Drosophila melanogaster: one gene and its partners. The gene in region 2 interacts genetically with the main gene of each other region. Each region holds a gene or a part of one and is shown on either strand. Other genes may lie near its edges.

What was found.
Region 1: of Sgsh (region 2) and sll, changing one enhances a phenotype caused by changing the other (phenotypic enhancement), as found in Drosophila melanogaster (one study listed by BioGRID).
Region 3: of Sgsh (region 2) and Sod1, changing one enhances a phenotype caused by changing the other (phenotypic enhancement), as found in Drosophila melanogaster (one study listed by BioGRID).

The regions. Positions count from the first base shown.
Region 1 is NT_033777.3:17,603,927-17,607,762, forward strand, and holds the start of sll (slalom), read left to right. Parts: upstream 1-2,179; 5' UTR 2,180-2,403; intron 2,404-2,451; exon of another isoform or gene 2,452-2,458; 5' UTR 2,459-2,592; coding exon 2,593-2,639; intron 2,640-2,700; coding exon 2,701-3,754; intron 3,755-3,836. UniProt on the Drosophila melanogaster protein: Mediates the transport of adenosine 3'-phospho 5'-phosphosulfate (PAPS), from cytosol into Golgi. PAPS is a universal sulfuryl donor for sulfation events that take place in the Golgi.
Region 2 is NT_033777.3:18,910,721-18,914,556, forward strand, and holds Sgsh (N-sulfoglucosamine sulfohydrolase), read right to left. Parts: upstream 2,203-3,836; 5' UTR 2,115-2,202; coding exon 540-2,114; 3' UTR 333-539; downstream 1-332.
Region 3 is NT_037436.4:11,112,141-11,115,740, forward strand, and holds Sod1 (superoxide dismutase 1), read right to left. Parts: upstream 1,601-3,600; 5' UTR 1,500-1,600; coding exon 1,434-1,499; intron 709-1,433; coding exon 313-708; 3' UTR 141-312; downstream 1-140. Other genes in the region: FoxK (forkhead box K), read right to left, coding at 2,945-3,278, 3,344-3,440, 3,577-3,600. UniProt on the Drosophila melanogaster protein: Destroys radicals which are normally produced within the cells and which are toxic to biological systems.

The DNA of each region.
Region 1 (3,836 bases), 1.3 Mb from region 2:
GGAACATTCCAAATTATGCTGACATGCTGATGCGGTAGCACAGGATTATGCTCCCCTGGTACGAAATCTACCACGAAAGAATGTGTACGAGTATGTGACGGACGTATACACGTGTCGCCTGAGTACACACACTGAAATCTGTCGAGTGTGCGAGATGCTGCCACTCTCACAAGGGCGAAATCAAAGACACAGGACCGCGATTTCGTGTGTGTGTACGTGTGTGCGTGTGTGTGTGGGACGCGACCTTGAGCAGAAGTAGCGCACTTAATGCAGCCGCAAGAGCAACCCCTAAATTGCCAGCAGCCGCAAACAGTGGTGTTCACGATAATAAAATCACAGCAACGAACTACATATACTTATTAATGTAATAATAATTATTTTCTTTAAAAATAATACGAATCTCAAACTTAACTAATAAGAATTCACTGAAAGAAGCCAAAAAATATGCTATGATGTCCTATGCTTCCTAAATATATTCCCGAAAGGGTAGAAATCTATAATTTGAAATGCGCTGTCCCCCCAAATTTTAAACCTGATACCTTTTCAACATCAGGATTCGTATTTAAATATGAAAATTAATAACTTGTGCTACATTTCTAGCCGCAACTGTGAGTTAAACCCACCGGGGTGGGTGCATCAATGTAAAGACGTAGTAATGCCGCTCCCGCTGGCCGTTCTGTTCGCCTGGTGCACTAAGGTTGCTCCTAGTTACGACGTAACTGTTAACCGGTTTGGCCCGTCGGCAGCGCTGCTCCTGCATGTTACCGTTATGTAATGGCCTCGACAATGGTAACGTGAAAGAACCCATCCCACTCGGTGGGTGGGCCAGCGGGGCAGGCCGTACGCTTTACTCCGCCCCGTAGATCACGCCCTAGTGGGGTGACATGCGCAATGGCATCGAGTGGCGTTGGGTTGCCCACTGCGATTCCTGGTCGCCTGGTAATCCTTGGGCGTTACCTTAAGAAGGGTTAAACCGCTGATGGACACGTGTCTGTCGAGTTGAATGTGCTGCCGCTGCTGCTGCTGCTGAGGTTCTTGGCCGCGTTCTTGGCAAAAATCACAAAGAGCCAGTCCGGCGGTGCCGTACTCGTTTTGGGCGCCACCCAGTGCCCGTACTCGCTAATTGAAACGCTCCGCGGGACTCGGAGGTTGCCGGTGCCTGTGACCCACCCACTTGGGCGGGCAGAATCGCGACCTGCCATCCACAGGGGCGTAGTCCGTGCCATCGTGTTCCTGTGCCAGTGGTTGTCAGTGCTGCATAAGTTCTGGCTGGAAAGTAGACAGATGAAGTAAATTTGATTACTTTTTAATATAGTGGTATGTACATTTTATAAACAGATAATTTTAAATTCCACAAGTTTTGTATTAAGATTTCTCAAAATAATTATTCATGTAAAATTGATTTGATTTTAAATAAACCTTCTCATTATTTGTTTTATTAGGTTTTTAAATAGCCAAATCATCAGCACTAGGGGTTGCACAGCCATCGAAACCCACCCCTAAAGCAAGGAATGGCAATGTCAAGCGACACACCCCTCGCGCACGCACAGACACACGCACACATGGACAGGCAACGAGTCCTTTCGATTTCATTACGTTCATTATGTGAGGGGTGTCCTCTGAATCACACATTCCACACTCCTCCTGAAATTGATGTGCGCCTGGTATTAGACCTCAAGCGGAATTTCCTTTCGTTTGATTGTAAGTTGTGGGAACGTGCAACAGCATGTGTGATGAAATTCAATTATTAAAATATTACTATCTTACCATCTATTATTACCATCTTATTATTGAATACAATAACTAAATATTTTTGTATAAGTTAAGTAACTTTTTACTTTTGTTAATTACCAGTTTTATTATTATTATTTATAACTAGATACAAAGAAAACAGCGATAATTAAGCTTATCTCGATAGTTATTACCAGCGATTACAAATTTTCCAATTGGTTTTAACAAACAGTCCATCCCTCTTATAATCTATTTTAACGATTTAAGGCATGTTTCAAGGCTTTTAATATGCAAAAATGCACAAAAACAACAAATAAAATTACTAATCCGTTTCATACAAAGAACAGCTGACAAAAAAAAACGACCGAAACCTAACGGTAAATAATTCAAAAGATTAGGGAATACCCCAAATGGTATTTACTTTTAGACCGTGTGGTATTTTCTATCGTTATCGGCGCGGTCATACTGGTAACGTATTGGTTACTATTATAAAATATTTGGCAATCTCGTTCTACTCGCTGGCGGCCAAATAGCTGCAGAATGTTTGAGCAGCTGGCCTGAGAGCTAGTGCCGGCTGCCCGAGCCTAGTACCCCGGACGTCCAGAACATCTTGAAGCTCCAAACGCACCGCACGCACATCTGGCAGCCGATTGTAAACAAACTCGGGATATGGTAATTAGATGATGCCGATTTGGAGTGTGCGAATCATGCAAAAACTAGTTTTCAGAGCCGCGCCGGTTGTTGAACTCTTGACACTTGACTGGTAATAGATTATCGCCCGCGGGTTCAATAGGAATCGGAGAATCGGTCGAGTCAGCAGCACCGGGCATTCAAACCGAGAGAGCCAACGAAACGCGCCACATGTACGCCTATAATAAGATGGGTCGGGTTCCAGAGCTTGTTATATGGTGAGAACCCAACGAAGTTGAAAATCAAATTAAACTAATCCCGCCCTTAAAATCTGAACAGCTCCTTCATAGTGGTCACCCTGCTTGTCATACACTTCTTCTCGGATCTGCTGAGAGCCTCCCTAGGCGGCTACTACAACCAGGATGTTACACTTTCCCAGCTGGTTGAGTCGCAGAACTCGGACTACGCATGGTTCCTTAAGCTGCTGGTCAATTGCTTTGGTTATAGCTGCGTCTTTGTGCCGGGCTTCTTGATCTACAAATATGTCGGCAGGATTAACTACCTGGAAAGAGGCAACAAGACATTCCTGCACAAGGCTATCAATATGTGTATCACGGGTAACTCTGGATACGATCAGTTGGATGCAGGGACCAGCACCGCGGATAAGGATCGTCCGGCAGCCTCTACGGCACCAAAGCGAACGAGTTCCCAGGAGGCCGTGCAACTATTATGGTGCTTTGGCGGCCTGATGATCTCCTATCTTACCTGGGGTGTACTGCAGGAGAAGATAATGACTCAAAACTATCTGAACTTCACTGGAGAAAGTGCCAAGTTTAAGGACTCTCAGTTCCTGGTGTTTTCCAATCGTCTGCTGGCCTTTCTCGTGGCGCTGGCCTATCTACAATGGCAGCCCTCACCTGTGCGACACCGTGCACCTCTGTACAAATACTCCTATGCCTCCTTCTCGAATATAATGAGCGCATGGTTCCAGTACGAGGCCCTGAAGTTTGTCAACTTTCCCACCCAGGTGCTGGCCAAATCGTGTAAGATTATACCCGTTATGCTGATGGGCAAAATCATGTCTAAGGCAAAGTACGAGAGTTACGAGTATGTGACGGCCCTGCTCATATCGCTGGGCATGATCTTCTTCATGAGCGGCTCCTCGGACAGCAGCAAGGCCAGCGGAGTGACCACGCTCACGGGCATTTTCCTGCTCTCCATGTACATGGTCTTCGACAGCTTCACTGCCAATTGGCAGGGATCGCTCTTCAAGAGCTACGGCATGACTCCGTTGCAGATGATGTGCGGCGTCAACCTGTTTTCCTCCATTTTCACTGGAGCCTCGCTGTCCATGCAGGGAGGATTCATGGACTCCTTGGCATTTGCTACAGAGGTAAATATATATAAAGATATCAAGCTCTCAATTTATGATGATATCCATTTTAATCAAAATAACGTAGCATGTTCTGAAATTG
Region 2 (3,836 bases):
GACACGAGTGTTTGCCAGTCTGGGCTGATGCAACCAATTCAGTCAGTGGGGGAATCTTCAGTCTTCTTTCTTTGCCAATTCTGTTGGCTATTTTTTTGGCATTGCGCAGGTGAAAATCAAGGCAATATATTTTTATCTGTTTGTTTGTAAAAAGCAATTAAAGTTTTCCCTTAATGTAAACTTGGAAATTTGTTCAAAGAACATACATATGTACATACTCTAAACAAATGCTTAATTCTTATGATTACCATTGCTTTTGAAAACATTGATCTTTTTATTAGCCATGCTTAAAGATTAGCAGCTCGCTTCAAAGTTAAACAAAGTTTATTATTGAAAGTATTGTATGTTACTTTTTTTTTATTATTTTAATAAGAATATACATTAATATAATATTATCATTTCTACCTTTTGCAATTCCTATTTGTATGACCGCAACTGTAACGGCATGTGAAGTGAAAAACATTGGCATGGTTGAGTTATCAACCATTGGACATGCGATAAGACAACACACCCAATCTATTGAATACTCTTAGTCAGACCTACGAGAAGACCACATACTCCTCATACTGACCGAGAATCCTGCGCTTGGGCCGCTGCAACGCCTCGTGGCCCAAGGTCAGACAGACGGGCTGATCCTTGTAGACGCCCTGCTCCTGGAGCACAGCGTGCGGAGCACATCGCCAGGGATCCTTGGTGGCTACCTGCCAGTCGAACAGTTGCTCGCGTAACTGCTTCAGGGTGCCATTGTACTTGGCCTTATCGGCCAGATTGAAACGCTCCAAGGGATCCGTCTTAATGTCGTACAGCTCCCATTCGGGTCGCTGGTAGTACTGCAACAAGGAACGATACCATGGCAGAGTTTGCTTCCTGAGAGTGGCATTCAATATCTGCTGGAATGTGGGTGAAGTGTAAAAGTCCTGGTCGATGGGGAAGTCTGCCCAGTAGTTGATATTATGGATAAGCTTGTAGCGCCTATTGCGCACCATTCTCATGGGATAGGCCATGGTCACCTCGTGGTAACTGTGACTACCGAACACCGAATCGCTCTCCTTGATCGGAGGTTCCTCCCGCAGTACTGGGAGTATCGATCTGCCAACGATTTTGGTGTCATTCGGTCGGGGAATCTGAAGAGCATCCATTACACTGGGGTATATATCCAAAAGACTGACCATGGCAGCAGTGGCTTCATGATGACGATCCTCCTTATTGGGAGAGCTAATGATCAGGGGCGATCGTATGCCGTGCTCGTAGAGATTGGTTCTGCCTCCGGGAAACGGTGGTCCATTGTCGGAGGTGTAGATCACGAGTGTCTGATCTGCCACGCCGGCTGCTTCTAGCTCCTTCAGCATTAGACCAACTCCCTGATCCAACCTCGAGATGGTCATGTACTGAGCAGCCAGCTCCTGACGCACTACATCCGTGTCGGGCAGCCAGGCGGGCACGTCCAGGTTACGCCAATCGTAGTAGATGGGCTTCCAGTCGGGTATGCTGCCCATTCCCTCCTCTCCGCTGCCCCAACGCTCACAGAATTCTCCAAACTGCGGGGTGATGTGGCCACAACGATGGGGATCATGGAAGCCGACCATCAGGAAGAAGGGTTTCTTTTCGTCCTTGGCCTGCTTGAGAAACTGCCTGGCATACTCCTTCATCCGGGTGATGTTTCTGCCAATCTGGTTGATGGAATGCTGCTCCTCTGTTTGCTCGAAATCGAAACGGAAATTGTTGGCGGCCCCAACATGTTTCTTGCCAATGATGCCGCTCAAGATCCGTCCGCCACTTTGATCACGGATTAAATTGGGCAGCGATCCGGTATCCGGAAGAACATTGAAGTTGTGCACGCCCTGATGGAGTCCATACATTCCGCTGGAGTGACCAGCCTGGCCGGTGAGCAACTGCGAGCGACTGGGACTGCAACTGCTTACCGAGGTGAAGGCGTTGTTGAAAAGCAATCCGCGTTTTGCCAGTGCGTCCAGATTGGGAGTTTGGCAGAATTTGTTCAGATAGGCGCCCGATTCGAAGCCGGCATCGTCAGCCAGAAGCAGCAGGACATTCTGCGGGCCAGCGGAGCAACCAGCAATTAGCCATAGTGTAAAAATCCACTGCAGAAATTGCATGTTGACATAAATCCAGTTCCAAATCCAAATTAAATATATTTGAGAGCGCAGAACAAAGCGATTCTTCAGTCGACGTCAGCGTACTGAAGTACGGCTCAAGAGAGCCGCATACTTTTAAGTGTCCACAAAGCCTCTCATTTCTCCGTTCTCCGTTTAAGACGCATTCAATTCCATTCCCAGTTCCAGTTTTAATCTCATCAACACAACAAATGCTCAGCGGGAGCGCGCCTAGGTACATTCACTTTGCCCGACTTTCTTTGGGAGCGGTTTGACTACAGTCAACACACCATACAGAGAACTAAAGTGTGAGGGTACTGTACAGTCATACGATTAAAGAATCATCATAAATATCAGTGAGATATATCTGAACAGTATAAAAAACAGCACTTCCACAAAAAAAATGTTTCATTTGAAATTTAAAATGCTTTAAAAACACTTTACATTTATAAACCATTAAAACACAGCCAATGAGCTGTTATAAAACATATGTACATTTAACTAGTATATATTCAACTGTATTGTATTGTAACATTTTGTGTACTTTGGTAAATTATAACCCGCCATATAATAATAAGCAGTATTCTTTTGTGACAGACATGGAAATAGATTTAAATCACCAAGAGTTTGGTTTGCATGACTCTGGCCATTAGGTGATCAACACGTTGTACTTTCTGATTTTATCTTGCGCCATGGAGAAGATAAAAGCAGGAACAGTGTCGCCAAATGGAACCACGTCAGGGTGTCAAGGCCAATCGCAAAGTGCAATGCGATTGTATGTTTTGAAAAATTATAAATCTACAAAACAAATGTTCGTTCTGCTTGTTTAGGCTTTTCTGTGTCGAAATGCGCAGTTTCTTCCAGCGACTAAAGAGTTTTCACATTGGGTGAGCTCATCTTATGTAAGTGGACAACCCCCAAAATGAATCATCGGCCGGCTAATTTAAGCCAGCCAGCCAGCTACAGTTTAAGCCACCCCCTTTTTGCCCTGCACCGGTGTGAAAATTTCGCCCAACATGTTTAACAACACTATGAGTTTTCCAAAAGTTGTGGCAACATGTTGCCAAGAGATTTTCGCAGTCTCTGGCAACAAGCCAACAATACGAATCAGCTGGGCCAGACTAAAACAGCTGTTGCAACGTGTGGCAAGTGTTGCATCAGCCAATCTCAACCAGCGAGAGAGAGTTTCACTCACGTGGAGAGAAAGAGTGCGAATCTGTATTGTTTGTTGTTGCTGCATGGCAGGCTGCCAAACCAGTTGCCCTATACCTTTTGGAGCGGACATAGGTGACATATGTAACCATAAATACTTACATTTACATTAAAAATCCTGTGAATGATCATATGAATATAAATGAATATTTAGGCGCGAAAAAATACGCAAAGTATTGAACTATACTTAAGTTTCGCGGCTTTTTATTAAATACCAGTTTATTAACCCTTTGTGAGCAAACATAGTTGCTATTACTTACAACCTTAATATCTACGTTTCTAAATTATCTGGGTGCAGAGTAAAATTTATTCTTTTTTTTTAGCTTCTCTTATCTATTGTAGCCAATTTAGACCGAAATGCTATCTGTGCAATTTTCAGACTGTCGCTAGCCAAATAATATGAACGGCTATGAATAATCTGTCTGCGTTTTGCACAGTTTATTGAAAATATATATATTTTTTGTTATATTAACTTAACTGTGTTGTATGTAATACTTTGCCTCAAGTTAATAG
Region 3 (3,600 bases), on a different chromosome or scaffold from region 2:
TTTTTGGGTTCTGCACTCATCTAATATGTAATTCATTTCATACGAATCTATAACCCGATTCTACTTGCGAATTCGTCGAGCAACAAGTGATATATTCATTCTTACCATCTCAACTCAAATGAAAACTATAACTTTTGTTTATGGGGCAATTTCAAAACACCAATTTATTGAACCTCAAAGGTTGCGTATCAACTAACAGACCACAGGCTATGTATTTATGTTTAGAAGTATGTATATCGTTTGTATATCTCCAGTGGGTAGTGCTAAATAGAGTAGATCAGCACAGTGGCCGACATCGGAATAGATTATCGCTTAGACCTTGGCAATGCCAATAACGCCGCACCCGATGCGGGCACCAGCGTTGCCCGTTGACTTGCTCAGCTCGTGTCCACCCTGGCCAAGATCATCGGCATCGGCGTGCACGACAACGGTGCGTCCGATGATGCTGTCGGCGCCGAAGAGCGTAATCTTGGAGTCGGTGATGTTGACCTTGGTGGGGCAGTCGCCGGTGGCCTCAATGTTGCCCAGATCGCCCAGGTGACGATTCTCGTCGACGGGAGCGCCATGCTCCTTGCCATACGGATTGAAGTGCGGTCCGGACGACATGCAGCCATTGGTGTTGTCACCGAACTCGTGCACGTGGAATCCGTGCAGACCCTTGGCCAGGCCGCACACCTCACCGGAGACCTTCACGGGCGTACCGCTGCTCTGTGGACGGGATGAAGGGATTGGGTTATAACGCTTCAGATAATACTCGAATACTGATAAGACACAAGTTGTGTATAATAGTGAGCAGAAGCACTGATTATGATAACGAGCGTGGCCAACTTCATATGATAATAGGTTATTATAGAAAATAACATTTGTTAATAGACACACGTTAAACGGAAATATTTATAGGCAGCAAAGTAAACATTTGGTTATCTTTATAGATTAAAAACATAAATTTCCTCGGCACTGAAACATAACCTGTAATCATCAAGTTTATAATCGTTTACTTGACACTTGACATTGCTGCTTTGACTTTGATGTACAAATTAATTATGAACAGCATCATTCTAATTATTCCCATATTCCTAATGCTTATTCTAAAACAAATATTTGTTGATATTTAACGATACTTTACGAACAAGTGAGCTTTATATCTTAACTCCTTTTTATGTCCAGTACCAATTTCGTGACCTTTGCTGTAGGCACTTGAGCGCACACACATATGCGCATTTTGGTGCGGCTTATATAAATATAAAGGTGCACTTGCTGGGTGACTAGGCGTAAACTCAAATCGGACTTAATTAAAATGCTCGACAGAATTTAAAGCAGCATATTGAAGTGGAAGAGGGGGCCGCGGGTGCAGCCGGCTATTTGACCTTTAGAACTTCTGTTTTTCGTACATTTTGCCGAGCAGAGAAGTTCAAATGATTTTGGATTCTCACCTCCTGTTCGAAGAAAACCGTGCCCTTGGCATCGCCGTTAATTACGCAGACAGCTTTAACCACCATTTCGAATGAATTAATCAATTTATCAAAACGAAAAAAGTTGAGAACTTTCCAGGTATCTTCTATGGTGTGACCGTAGCAGAGCAGCTTAGAAATACATGCGGAACTTTTACTGTTAGTGTTCAGTTGTGCAAAAGTTTCGTTCACACTATTATGCCGTTACTGGAAGCATTTTTTCTTTGTAATATTTCAAGCTCATGTTTTATTGGGACATTTATTTACATTTTTAAGGATAAAAGCTACAAATTACAAAATTTGAAAACGGAACAATTTTACTGCACAAATGGCGTTGAATTTTTTGAGCTGTTCAACGAACGGGTGGTTCACTTGGAAGCCTTCCATTTATTCCAATGACAGTGGCGGGAACTATTCAATTTACTTTGTTTTGTATAAATAAAAAACGAATCCAGGAATTCCCCAATAAATGCCCAGACTTGATTGCGCTCCTGTTGACTAGTATCAACTAGTATTCATTCATCTATCTAATTCAATTAAAGCAGGTAAATATTAACAAATTGAAACAAGAAAGTTTACATTTGATTTTTGTTTTTTTTTTTAATACACAATTTGTCCAAACACTTAAATGGGATTTTCTTCATTAATAAGAAATAATGTGCTATCATTTCAATCTTTATATATTGTTATTGTATCCGTAAATTTGTAGATATTACTTATTTATTTTCATCATTTTTGTTTTTGTTTGTATTTTAATAATTTGTATATATATTAATATAGATATACATATATATATATACACATATATATATATATTATATTTAAATCGATATAGGTAAAGGTATGTAGATAGGTAATATTATTCATTCGCCTGTTTGTTTGTTTGTTTGTTACTTGTGTGGTTTGCTTGCTTGTTACTTAATTTTCCCCAAATTTTTTTTCACGTTTCTCGCACAATTCGGTCACATAGCTATAACATCTTAAACATCATAATCATCAATCATTACAATAATCAATCGCATATATCTAGATAATTTTGCTTTGTTTGCTGCTTTACCTTGTTGTAAACTTAAAATTTATTATATTACTTAGAGAGTAGCGTCATCGAGCATATTGAATTCGTCAGATCTAGGGGATAAAGTCGTTACTTCGAATCGGGTTTTCGAATTTTCAAAATGTGTGCTTGCATAAGTCGCCGCCGTTGAACGGCTGCATGGCCAACATTTCAAACACAATCATCTCACAGTTGCTATTTGTAAAATGTTCCATATCAATTTACATATACATTGCTCTTCGCGTGCGTTCATGTTCCTTAAGTTCTGCGTGTGTGGCTATTTAATTTGATTTGTATTTCGGGGTTTAGGTATAGGTTTTTGATTGGCAAATTCAATATACAAGATGGAGATACTTTTTTGTTTTTGCTTTCTAATCGTTTACACCCATGGGCCTCACTATTTGCCCTTGTTCTGCCGGTGCTTCTGGATCCGCACGCATCAGAGCACTTCCGACACATACTTGGGTCGCTTGGCCACGGTGGCATCGGTGGCAGTGGTGACGCACTCCTCCTCGCTGGCCTCAATGTGGCCGCTGTAGTCGGTCGGCAACTCCTCGTAGATAATCTCTGAATGCTGTTGCTGGGCCACGGCCTGCTGCTGATGCAGCGTATGCTGCGATGCCCCGCCGCCCATCACATGGTTCCTCTTTAGCGCAAGCAGAGCTCCAACCCCGCCGCCTCCGCCGCCGCCGCTCGCTGCGCTTCCTTCCACATGCGTCTGTGGTGTGGCCACTCCAGAGCTTTGATTGGTTACGTAGTACGGACTGCCACTACTGGAAAATACGAAAATAAATGTTTAAGACACGCATTGAATGAATCATTTTAATGTTGTGCTCACCTGTACTGATTGGAATTGTTTGACAGTGTCTGCTGCTGCTGCTGCTGCTGTTGTTGCTGCTGTTGCTGGTGTGCATTTTGTGAGTTGTAAATAATTTCTGCAAGATAATCCCAAAGATTACAATCAGATGACTTTCTCAAAGTTCTATTCCCAAGTCGAGTGTTTGGAGAACAATACTTTAACAACTCGATTTTGGAATTGAATGAAACGGATTTAAATTGAGCAAAACATACCGGGATCAGCAGCTCGCTGTTCCA